3 linked regions of the Schizosaccharomyces pombe genome follow. The gene in region 1 interacts genetically with each later gene. Each region holds a gene or a part of one and is shown in the gene's direction. Other genes may lie near its edges. The genes, in order: gnr1, ado1 and ptn1.

What was found.
Region 2: mutations in gnr1 (region 1) and ado1 together harm fitness more than expected from each alone (negative genetic interaction), as found in Schizosaccharomyces pombe (one large-scale study listed by BioGRID).
Region 3: mutations in gnr1 (region 1) and ptn1 together harm fitness less than expected from each alone (positive genetic interaction), as found in Schizosaccharomyces pombe (one large-scale study listed by BioGRID).

The regions. Positions count from the first base shown.
Region 1 is NC_003421.2:765,280-769,235, reverse strand, and holds gnr1 (heterotrimeric G protein beta subunit Gnr1 ), read left to right. Parts: upstream 1-1,692; 5' UTR 1,693-1,866; coding exon 1,867-3,066; 3' UTR 3,067-3,300; downstream 3,301-3,956. Other genes in the region: wybutosine biosynthesis protein Tyw1, read left to right, coding at 1-1,250. UniProt on the Schizosaccharomyces pombe protein: Negatively regulates the pheromone-response pathway. Acts as a structural mimic of the G protein beta subunit thereby interacting with gpa1 which then inhibits gpa1 signaling.
Region 2 is NC_003421.2:1,349,137-1,352,997, reverse strand, and holds ado1 (adenosine kinase), read left to right. Parts: upstream 1-1,879; 5' UTR 1,880-1,913; coding exon 1,914-2,936; 3' UTR 2,937-3,361; downstream 3,362-3,861. Other genes in the region: COG complex subunit Cog4, read left to right, coding at 1-1,005; dolichyl-diphosphooligosaccharide--protein glycotransferase subunit Wbp1, read left to right, coding at 3,600-3,729, 3,776-3,861.
Region 3 is NC_003423.3:3,159,752-3,163,577, forward strand, and holds ptn1 (phosphatidylinositol-3,4,5-trisphosphate3-phosphatase Ptn1), read left to right. Parts: upstream 1-1,977; 5' UTR 1,978-2,071; coding exon 2,072-3,118; 3' UTR 3,119-3,190; downstream 3,191-3,826. Other genes in the region: SPOM_SPBC609.01 (Dis3-like exonuclease family protein), read left to right, coding at 1-1,461; iqw1 (WD repeat-containing protein), read left to right, coding at 3,421-3,481, 3,527-3,620, 3,667-3,826. UniProt on the Schizosaccharomyces pombe protein: Acts as a phosphoinositide 3-phosphatase and regulates PtdIns(3,4,5)P3 levels.

The DNA.
Region 1 (3,956 bases):
ATATGGGTTCCATGATGGCCAAGGCAAAGGCAGAAGCAGCCTTGCCAGTGGGTACTAAAGAGATGGTTTCGACAGAGTCTCCTACGTATAAAGCCCTTACAAAGCAGGGATACAGCGTAGTTGGCTCACATAGTGGTGTAAAGATTTGCAGATGGACAAAGTCTGCTATGCGTGGCCGAGGCTTTTGCTATAAGTATAGTTTCTATGGAATTCGAAGTCATCTATGTATGGAAGCTACCCCAAGTTTAGCCTGTGCTAATAAATGTACTTTTTGTTGGAGACATGGTACGAATCCCGTAGGAACCTCTTGGCGCTGGAAGGTTGATCCTCCAGAAATGATACTTCAGGGTATATTGAAGGCTCATTATGCCAAGTTAAAATTAATGAAAGGTGTACCTGGTGTTCTACCCGACAGATATGAAGAAGCGTCTCGTGTTCGTCACTGTGCTTTGTCCTTGGTTGGAGAGCCTATATTTTATCCATACATAAACGAATTTGTGTCCATGCTTCATGAAAGAGAGATTTCATCGTTCTTAGTAACAAATGCCCAGCATCCTGAAGCATTAAGAAATATGGGTATGGTCACTCAACTCTACGTTTCTGTTGATGCCAGTACTAAGCAGAGTCTCAAATCAGTAGACCGACCATTATTCAAGGATTTTTGGGAGCGAATGCTAACGTGTTTGGAGATTTTACGTGAAAAGCGGCAGCGTACTGTTTACCGAATGACCTTGGTGAAGGGATTCAACATGGAGCAAATTAAAGAGTATACTGAACTGATTCGTCTTGGTGTGCCTTGTTTCATCGAAGTTAAGGGGGTTACTTATAGTGGTAATTCGGATCAATCACCGTTGACTATGAAGAATGTGCCTTATTATGAAGAGGTAATTGACTTTGTTAAAAAATTGATTGAGTATATTGATATTCATTTACAAGACCTTGGCGTCCGCTATGAAATTGCTGCAGAACATGCACACAGCTGCAGTATTTTAGTTGCTCAAACTGCGTTCAAAAAAGATGGCCATTGGCATACTCACATTGATTATCCAAAGTTTTTCGAATTAATACGGACAAAGAAAGACTTTGGTCCATTCGATTATATGGCATCCACGCCCGATTTTGCCATGTTTGGGAACGGTGGATTCAGTCCAGAGGATACAAGATTTCACAGGAAGAAAAAGACACAAACATCTAAACCAATTTCTGCAACCATTTCAGAAACTGCTACAATTTCGGAAGCCGCTGCGTAAGCCAACTTTTGTAGTAAATAGCTGAAGAAAAAAAAGAGTGACACACTCTAAAGTTTATGAACTGTTGAGCAGTTTTTGTACGCGTCTGCACTCATTGATAAAAAAAAATTAAGATTTTGGCATAGGTTATTTTCGTTAATTCATTAATATATTTTTTGATTTATCAATACAAAAAAACGATGAAGGCTTATTTGCTTAATTTCGTTCATATATTTATAGTTTCAATGGGCGTAAAGTAATAAAAATGTTGACGATATTGTACTCAATTGTTTTTTTAGTTAGACAAGTATATCGCAACCTGTCTCTATTTTTATTTATATAGTAACCTGAGTCGTAACTTTTAATTTTCTTTTTTTTTTATGATTGAGAAACAAAGAATACATTCTTTCTGTTTTAGGACTCGTGGAAATGTCTTGGAGTAATTCGAGCATACTGAGATTACAACTACTACATATGATTACAATTCGTTTTTTAAAGAAGGACTATTCGTTTTCAACCCTTATGACCAGATAGAAAGAAATCCATATATATATTATATATTTAAAAAATTAAAGTTGACATTGTGAAGAGCCATAATCCATACATGGTTAATAAAGTAGGTTAACTTGAGGAAGGAATGGATAATTGTGTAAACTCCTTTGAGGATCAGAAGGATGACTTGGTGCATAAGAAGAAAAGTCAAAATTTCGGCTATGTATGCGGAAGTATTAATTTAGGAACAAATGTGATTGCTCAAAGTCCAACAAAGCCATTGAATTTTTTTCATTCGTCAAGATGGTCGCCGGATGGATCGACTATACTTTCGTTAACAGAGGATCAATGTCTTAACTGTTGGAATGTGCCGTTTTCCGATTTATCCAAAAAGGCTGATGGACCATTGAACTTTTCAAAACATCTGTCGTATAAATATCAATCACCGGAAACAGTTTACAGTTACAGTTGGTATTCGAGAATGAAACTTGACGATCCTTCCAGTAACCTTTTTGCAGTGTCTAGTAGGGATCAACCTATCAAGTTGATCAATTTTACTACAGGAAAGAACAAGGCTTCATATCACATGATAGATCACCAAGAGAGATATCAAGGATCGCATTGTTTACAGTTTACCAACGATGGGGAGTATTTGATTGCGGGTGATAAAAACTGTCTCCATCATTTTAATATAAGAACGGGATGTAAAGAACCTGTCATGACAACGGTAACCCATGGATATAAAGTCCCTCTTTGGGAATTTAGTCTTAAGGGTATACAGTCATGCTTTTCCTTGAATCCGATGGATTCGAAAACATTGGCAGTGGGAACGTATTCAAATCGAGTTGGGATTTATAATGATTGCGGACGTCGCCCTTGTCAGCTAGAGTTTTCGATTGAAAGAGGAAACGGAGTGACACATCTACAATGGTGTGAGGATGGAGAAAAGTTATATGTTGGAAGCAGATGCAGTGATAAGATTGAAGTTTGGGATATACGGTATGTGCGCGACATGGTATATGCTCTTGAAGGGCATCGTGGCGATACGAACCAAAGGATTCTTTTCGACACTGATAAAAAGGATGAAATTTTGGCAGGTGGGACGGATGGAAGTATTCGTAGATGGAGAAACAAGGATCTTGTGGAAGAAACGCATGTGACGGGAAATTACGATTTGACGGTAAACACAGTACAAGCGAACCCTATAAACATGCAGATAAAGTGTGTATGTTATGGAAATAGAATTTACAAGTATGAGAAGGATGAAAGTGAAGAAGAGGATGAAAGTAAAGAGAAGGATCTTTGGACAGGAACGGTTTCGGCTTTACAGGTTTGGATGGATTGAAAAAGCAAAATTTGGAATGAATGAATACTTGAAAAAATAAAAAATGGTGAGCTTGAAGGAAGAACTTTATGAGGATGATTTGATTATTAATAGAAAAACATTAGAAAACCGGTTCTAAATTGGTGTATTGGTGAATGGGTGTTTTTTTCGCAATCAGGAGGAGTCCTCAGACATGTTGAGGGGTTTCATTATTTAGATTATGATAAATTAAAAAATAAAAGAGATGAATTTTATGCAAATAGTTGATTATAAGAGCGCAACAATCTTTGTATTAATAAAACTACACATTCGCTTATTAAATAACCTTAAACTCGGTTATACATGGATTTCCAAGTGTCGCAAGTAGAGGAGAAATGGAGAAAATGGAAAGCAAAGAATGGATGAAAATTGTAAATCAGCAGTTTCGAACTTTTCAAAAATTTGTTAAAAATATTAATTTTTCAATTTAATTGAATTTTGTTTTACAAGGTGGATACTATGGAGGAAAAAACAAGATATGTATGGAAAAGGTAGCGATCGCAAAGGAAAAAAAATATTAGAAAAGGAAATGGAATGAAATTAATTGAACGAAATGAAAAGGACATGAAAATAAACAGAAGTATAGAACAAGAAAAAAAAAATTTTTTTTTAAAATAACATAAGGATGGAAGTGATCCGGAGTGAATAAATAGAGGGAAATGAAAAAAATAAATAAATAAAAAATAAATAATAAAATAAAAAATATTTATATACACATACATATAGATTGGAAAAAGATGAAAGAAAAAAAATGAACCAACCAATCTATCAATAAGTAAATCAATTAATCAATAAATATATAAAAATAAAAATTCTAAAACCAAGAAAAAAAAAAGAAAAAGAAAAAAGATTGAAATCTTATAAACAAATCC
Region 2 (3,861 bases), 580 kb from region 1:
GAAACATACTATTTCAGGAGAAGTATAGAAACGTCTTTGGAACTTGAGGAATATTACACAAAGGTTTCCCCATGGATGAGCTCTATTGTAGACGATGTCATGTACGTTACGAAGCAAGTATTCCAACGTGCGTTTTTTACAGTCTCCTCTTTATTCTTCACCAGATTTGTTAACGAAAGCTTAATCCCTATTTTAAGAAATGATTACTATGTCTACCTTTCCCATAATCTTTTAACTGTCTGTAACATTATAAAAGCTCAGTTCCAGAGGCTAAAGAATGCAAATAGCATTCCCGCCAAACAAGTCGAAAACTACATAACATTGGTAAATAGTGCTTCACTCAGCAAGCAATATCTAAAATCAATTGTGGATGGTGTTTCTAGTCGGTTGGAAGAAGTTTTTGCCTTTGCCAAAGACCAAAAATTGGTAAAGAAATCGATTGATAATTTTTTGCAGCTAACCGTTAATTTTGAAAATCTTTGCAAGACTTCTTTCAACATGTACTTTCCGATATTTTTATTACCCCGAATTGAGCAATGCATCGATGATTCCTTTGATGGAATCAACTATGTCTTGTCCTATGAAGACTATACGAAGGAGACAGAACATGAAAGACTGGTAGTTACCCGTCTTCGCAGCGTTTGGGACAGGGTTTTGTTGCTGGAGCAATTTACTCCTGAAAATCAGCTTTCTTTACGCTCTATGGCATGCGAGAAAGCTGCAAGTTATATAGAAAACCTCATACTATATAAGATTCAGTGGAATGATTATGGTGCTATGGCATTAGAAAACGACATTTCTAGCTTAATTACTATCTTTTCCAATGATCAAGCTAATCTCCGACATAGCTTTGAGCGTTTGCAAGAAATTCTAATCTTATTAGTATGGGAAAGTGATTCTACAGCCCCAGAGCAATTGATCAACGATTTAAACCTACAGCTACTATCCATAGATATTGTTAGCGCTATTATGGAAAAGAAAGCGAATGTTCAAGGTGAAGATTAACGACCTTTTTTATTCAGGATATTTGAAGAAGCACCAAAAGTTCTTTAGTTGTAATCTCCTGTCATATCCTAAATTTATCCTAAAAAACGGCGGATCATCGTCTCCACGTTTAGCATGATGCCGATATCTATTTTTTTTTCACTCTATTTTTGTTTTTATTTCTTTATTCGTATATTGAAAATTTTGACAACCGGCTACCCTGACGCAGTGCAACTCGATCATCATTTATCTTAGTTTATTATTTCTTCCACACTTTGATAAGTTTTCCGCTAAAAGTTGAAGCAACCCCTTTGTTAAAAAAATAATACAGGAATGGAGTTAATATTCATGACCAATTGTATATAGCATCAAATATCGACTCTTTTAATCTTTATTAGTTCTAATTTTTCTCGTGATCGGCCTTCTTAAATAAGTATTGTGATTATAATATACCGAGGCGCAAAGGAGTGTGATACAGTTTATATCGTTTAATTATGCAGTTTGCAATCAGTTTAATGAAGGTTAAAATTGCGATGAGTATTAGTTGTGACCTAGAATTCCAGTATACAGGTACAATAAGTAACATACACTGTCAATCTTCAGTTACATAGTATTATATTTTTCACCAATATAGCTAATAACTGAAATTGAGGATGCTTGTACAGTTATGCTTATATTGATAATTTTTTTAGCTGCTCAAATTTTAATAGTTTATTAAAAATAGTATGCCTTTACCATACAATATATAGCGAAAGATAAACAGACCATATGGCATGTATCGATATTTAACGCAGTATAGTATTAATAATATAACGCATTACAATTATGCCATAATATCGCTCTTTGAACATTAAGATACTTTACCTGTTGGTGTATTTTCTCGTGGTTTTTCTTTAACTTTTTCCCTTCCCTTACTACAATCATTTATCATGTCTTCATACATCTTGTTTGGTTTGGAAAACCCTCTGTTGGATTACTATGTTGGTGGTGAAACTGCAACTCTTGAAAAGTATGGCTTGAAGAGCAACGACGCCGTCTTAGCTTCTGAGAGCCAGATGGGTATCTACAAGGAGCCATGCGTTAGCTACAGTGCCGGTGGTGCAGCTCAAAACAGCTGCCGTGCTGCTCAATACGTACTTCCTCCTAACTCTACTGTTTTCGCCGGCTGCGTTGGTCAAGATAAGTTTGCTGATATGCTTCTTGAATCGAACGAAAAAGCTGGATTACGATCTGAGTTTTCTGTTGATCCCACTACACCTACTGGTGTTTGTGCTGTCGTCTTGAGCAACAACAATAAAAATCGCTCCCTTTGTACCAACTTGGGAGCTGCTAACAACTACAAGCTCAAGGACTTGCAACAGCCGAATGTATGGAAGTTCGTTGAGGAAGCAAAGGTTATTTACGTCGGTGGTTTTCACTTGACCGTCAGTCCCGAATCCATGTTATGTTTAGCTCAACATGCTAATGAGAATAACAAGCCCTATATCATGAATCTTAGCGCTCCTTTCCTCTCTCAATTTTTCAAGGAGCAAATGGATTCCGTTATCCCATATTGTGATTATGTTATTGGCAACGAAGCTGAAATCCTTAGCTACGGGGAGAATCATGGAATCAAAAGTACCGACGTCCAGGAGATTGCGCTGGCCTTGTCTTCTGTTGAGAAGGTTAACAAGAAACGCACCCGTGTTGTTGTCATTACTCAAGGAGCCGATGCCACGATCGTTGCTAAAGACGGTAAAGTAACCACTTACAAGCCCAACCGCGTCCCATCTGAGGAAATCGTCGATACCAATGGTGCCGGAGATGCCTTTGCTGGTGGATTTATTGCTGCTCTTTCTCAAGGCCAAGGAATCGATTATGCTGTTACTCTCGGTCATTGGCTTGGACAAGAATGCATCAAGGTTAGCGGCACTACTCTTCCTCTTCCCAAAAAGCAGTTCCCTTTACCTTAGACTATTGCATTTTAGTGATTTTTTAAACTGTCAACGTAGATAACGCACTTCGTTTTAATTAGATGTTTAACTTTAAAAATTGTGCACACTATGATTGCAATTAGTTAGAAAAGCAGGCTTTATTCTTTGACATTGATATTTTGTTATCTTATTGATATGTCATGGGTTCTGTCGTATCATTGTTATAAGCTAATAGAACAAGTCTATTTTTGCTAAGCTGATATAAATAACTGGATATTATATTGCAAGGAAATAACCCATTTTGACTTCTTGAGGGATTTGTATATGCCATTTATTCCAATGTTAAGAAATTTGCTAAATAAAGCATTGCTGAGGGGAGCTAAGCTAACGCTGATTTTATTACCGAGAATATTTCTTTGTTGAATAGAAATATAAAGAATTTAAATTCATTTCAATCGATGGAATTTAGGATTTCAAATAAAAATTGGACGAATTACTTTTATAATAGTGTACTGTTGAGTAAATTTTTACGTGTCTTTATGTTATTGAAAGTAGTTTAGCGTTATTTTGAATGCTCTTATAAAAATATCGTTAATTAGTTCAACGCAATCCCATAAGCACCAGTATGCGGAGGTAGCTATGCTTGGTTAATACCAGTGATCTCTTCTTCTACCAACATTTGCACTTGGAAACACAGCTACGATGAAGAGCGCATTGTGTATTGCTTTGGCCCTTACATGGTCGCTTTTAGTACAAGCAGCTCGTCAGACGGTTTTGGCTGTTGCCGACCATGATATCGGTGGATATAGCACATTTTTACAATCACTTACGGGTACGATATTGACTAACGCGTTCAGTAACTAACTGTTACTATGTAGACAGAGATTTTGATGTGAAAACTTCTTACATCAAAGATGAAAGTGCAAAGCTATTTGAATATGGTGAACGTCTTTACGACAACTTG
Region 3 (3,826 bases), on another chromosome or scaffold:
CCCTTTTTACCGAAAAAGGTCTCAGAAGAGATTTCCCTTATAGAGGGACATGATTGTTTAACAATTAGTATAGTTGTACAGCTTGATTTGAAAAGCGGCGCTGTTTTACAGTGTTCCCTTGGGCCCTCTGTAATCCACCCGTCAAGTTTTATTAGTTTAGAAAGTGCACAAGCAAACTTGCAAACCAACGAAGCGCTTCAGCTAGTTGATGCATCGGCCCATGTCCTTACCAAACTAAGATTGAAAACAGATAAGAAACTTGACTTACAATCCTTATACTGCTTTGAATTTTGCGATGGGCAGATTCCTAATATACAGAATATTAACATGAGTATTTTTGAGGCATTCCCTATTGCATGTTCTTTACAACAAATTGAACATTGGGTAAACGAGAAAGTTGCATCTCATTTAATGTCTGTTTTTCCCAGTAAAGTGATTTTGCGAAAAAATCAAAGACCTTCTGACTTTGCATCTCTTGTTGCAGTTTCTGAGTTAACCGGAGTGAATTTATCTGCTTCATCTACTCCTTCGGAAATCATGACCGAAATTGCAACTACCAAGGATAAGAGAACCAAAATGTTACTACAATTGACTCTAAGAAGAATGTGTAATGAATCTGAATACACTATCGGTACTTCAAATGCTAAGGATGTTTCGCATTTTGTGTTCTCTTGTCCTTACTACACCCATTTTTGTCACCCTACTCGTAGATATATCGATATATGTGTACAGAGACAATTACGCGAAGCCTTTGATGGCAGACCAGACTTTTCCAAAGACTACAGAAGTTTACTTTCTATAACTCAGTCTTGTAACACACTGAGCAACTTCTACCGTAATGCCCAGGAAAAAAGTCTACATGCATATTTATGTCAACTTCTCCATTCTATTAATTTACGATCTGGGCTCGTTAAGCATAAGGCTTTTGTTTTGGCTGTTGACCAGGAGTATATTGACATAGTCATATACGAATTTGGCTTGGAAAGAAGGATCTCCTTGGATCTGCTACCGCTTAGTAACTGCGACTTTAATGAGCAAAAACACGAACTCTATTTATCATGGAGGACAAATGCTTCTTTCTTTTATGCTTCATCTTCTTTGGAAATTGATACACCTTGTTTCAATGACTTTAAGAAAAAATTTTTGGATTCCAACGGGATGTGCAAACAAATATGCGATATGATGGATGCACAGGTTCGGGATTTAGCTAACGCTGCTGAGTCCCAGGAGTCTTTCTATTCAAAGGCTCGAGGCAATGACAGTACTAGTAAAACAGCTAAAAGTTCCTCTGGCAATCAGGATATTTCCGGAGATGGAAAACTTCATAGTTTACGTATGAAAGAGCCTGAGGTTGTTCAAACCATCCGTCCAGGCCAAGAGGTTAGTGTACTTATATTTGCTGATACTTCCGCTACTTACTCACTCTCGTTAATTACTTTACAAAGTCCTCTATCCAGTTAATCTTCAATAACTGGTGATCTTCGCTAATGTGTATGCCTCACGATTTATTTTTAATGTATGATTAATTGCATATGTCTAACGTTATATACTTCTACCACTTATTTCTTTTTACCTAAACGTTTTGGATTTATTTTAGAGGATTCGAATAATCGCATGGGTTTGTTTGTTTTTTGGTGGACTTAAATGTTTTTAAGGATTTTTATCAAAATATTTTAATGCTTATTTACGGTTCATGTCTTACGATTGTATTTCTTATTGGCTTTTTTTATTCATTTTTCTCATTTTTTTTTTTTTATTTCTTTATTATTTTTTTTTACTAGTAATACTTTTGCATCGTTTAAAGGGAAAAGTTATGCCCTTATGTTTTTTTCAATAAAATGGATTATCAAATCATTGCTATCAAAATATATAAATAATTAAAAGTAAATTAGTTATTTATTCACGTCACTATGGTTGATACCTACCCGCTTAAAGTTCATTACTAAAATCTTTATTGTATTTCTCTTATTTTCTTCTGAACAGTGCAGCTTACCTCATATTTCAACAGTCAACGGCATCTGCAGTATTATCCTAGTATATTACAAATAACTAATTAAACATGTAATTTTCCATGAATATACTTCGATCAGTAGTTTCGAGGGGTCGAAAAGGCCTCAAACAAGAAAAAGTGAATCGTAGCTTTGCTTACTTAGATATGGTTTATATTACTTCCAAGGTAATTGCTATGTCTACACCGGCTGCTGGAATACATAAGTTATATCGAAACGACGAATTGGATGTATTTAAATATCTTACAACGCAATTGAAAGACAACTGGATATTGTTGAATTTATGTGCCGAAGAAACAGTTTACCATTTGGAATTATTTAAACCAAATGTCATAAATTATGGATTTCAAGATCATAATCCACCTCCGCTTCTCTTTTTATGGGCTATTGTTATGAATATGGATGCACTCTTTCAAACGCAACCTTTGTTGACATTGGTAGTTCATTGTAAGGCCGGAAAAGGACGTACAGGAACTGTAATATGTAGCTACTTGGTAGCTTTCGGAGGCTTGACAGCCAAGCAAAGTCTTGAACTATATACTGAAAAAAGAATGGTTCGAGGGCACGGTCTTACCATTTCATCGCAAATACGTTACGTCTATTATATCGAAATTTTAAAACAGTTCCCGAATTATTTGAAAGCTGTGGAATTTAATACTGGTACCACTTTTTTTAAAAGTTTTAAATGTTTGAATATTAAAAAAAATTCATCTTTGATTCTATCATTGCATGCCTTCTCTAAGGGACGAAACATAAATCCAGTTGCTCTGTGGAAGAGTTCAGATATATCATCCCATAATGTAAGCATAAAAGAAGGAAAACGTATATGGGGGATACAATGCAACCTAGAAACATCGGAGAAAGACCTTTTGCTCAGAGTCGAACGCAAGGGCCAGTTTTACTTTCCTTCGAGTGTGCAATGTTGGTTTCATACTCACTTTCAACCTATGCTTGTGGAATACACAAACGGGATAAATTTTCAACAAGGTATAAATTCCTTTCTGCAAGGACAACAGTCAATTTCGTTCTCCTGGTCTGAAATGGATAATAGCCGACGAAGTGACCCCTTTTTCGAACAACTGACAATTGTATATGAAAATGTTTTTTGATATTTTGTAAATATTATATTAGTGTAAAATAAAATGATTATTTGTGCAATTAGATCCTCCTTTCGATCATCGAAATAAACTCACATGTTGAAGTGTTTCTACTTCAGTAAATTACAGAGGCGCTTCAAGTTTTTTTTTTAAATTTTAAAAAAAACATAGGAGTTTGAGTTTAAGGCTTATACTCTAAGATTCGAGTTTGCAGTTACGATTTATGGTATTAACTCATCGTGGCTACATTACCGACATCCACTTGAATTGAGCTTGTCTTCCACCAACGCTTGTTAATCGCTGAATTGACTCTCATGTCTGGGATATCACTATCCTTGCGTCAATTGGATTATAGAGATTGGTTTCAGCGAAAAAGTATGCTCTTGTTTTGTTTTTGAATGATGCTAACTAGTTTATTAGTCAGTCGAGATATCTACGGCAATTCGACTTGGTTGACCGGTATAGATTTGCAGAAAGAATTAACTGGTCATACGGGATGTGTTAATACACTAGAGTAAGTGTTTTATAACAATTTGTTCTACAATGCTTACAATTTTCAGCTGGTCCGCGGACGGTGAATTCTTGTTATCAGGAAGTGATGATACAAGACTAATTGTCTGGGATGTTTTCAATGAATACAAGCCACGGCATTTAATATCTACTGGCCATGTTCAAAATATCTTCAGTGCGAAATTTGTCCCATATTCTAATAACCGGCAA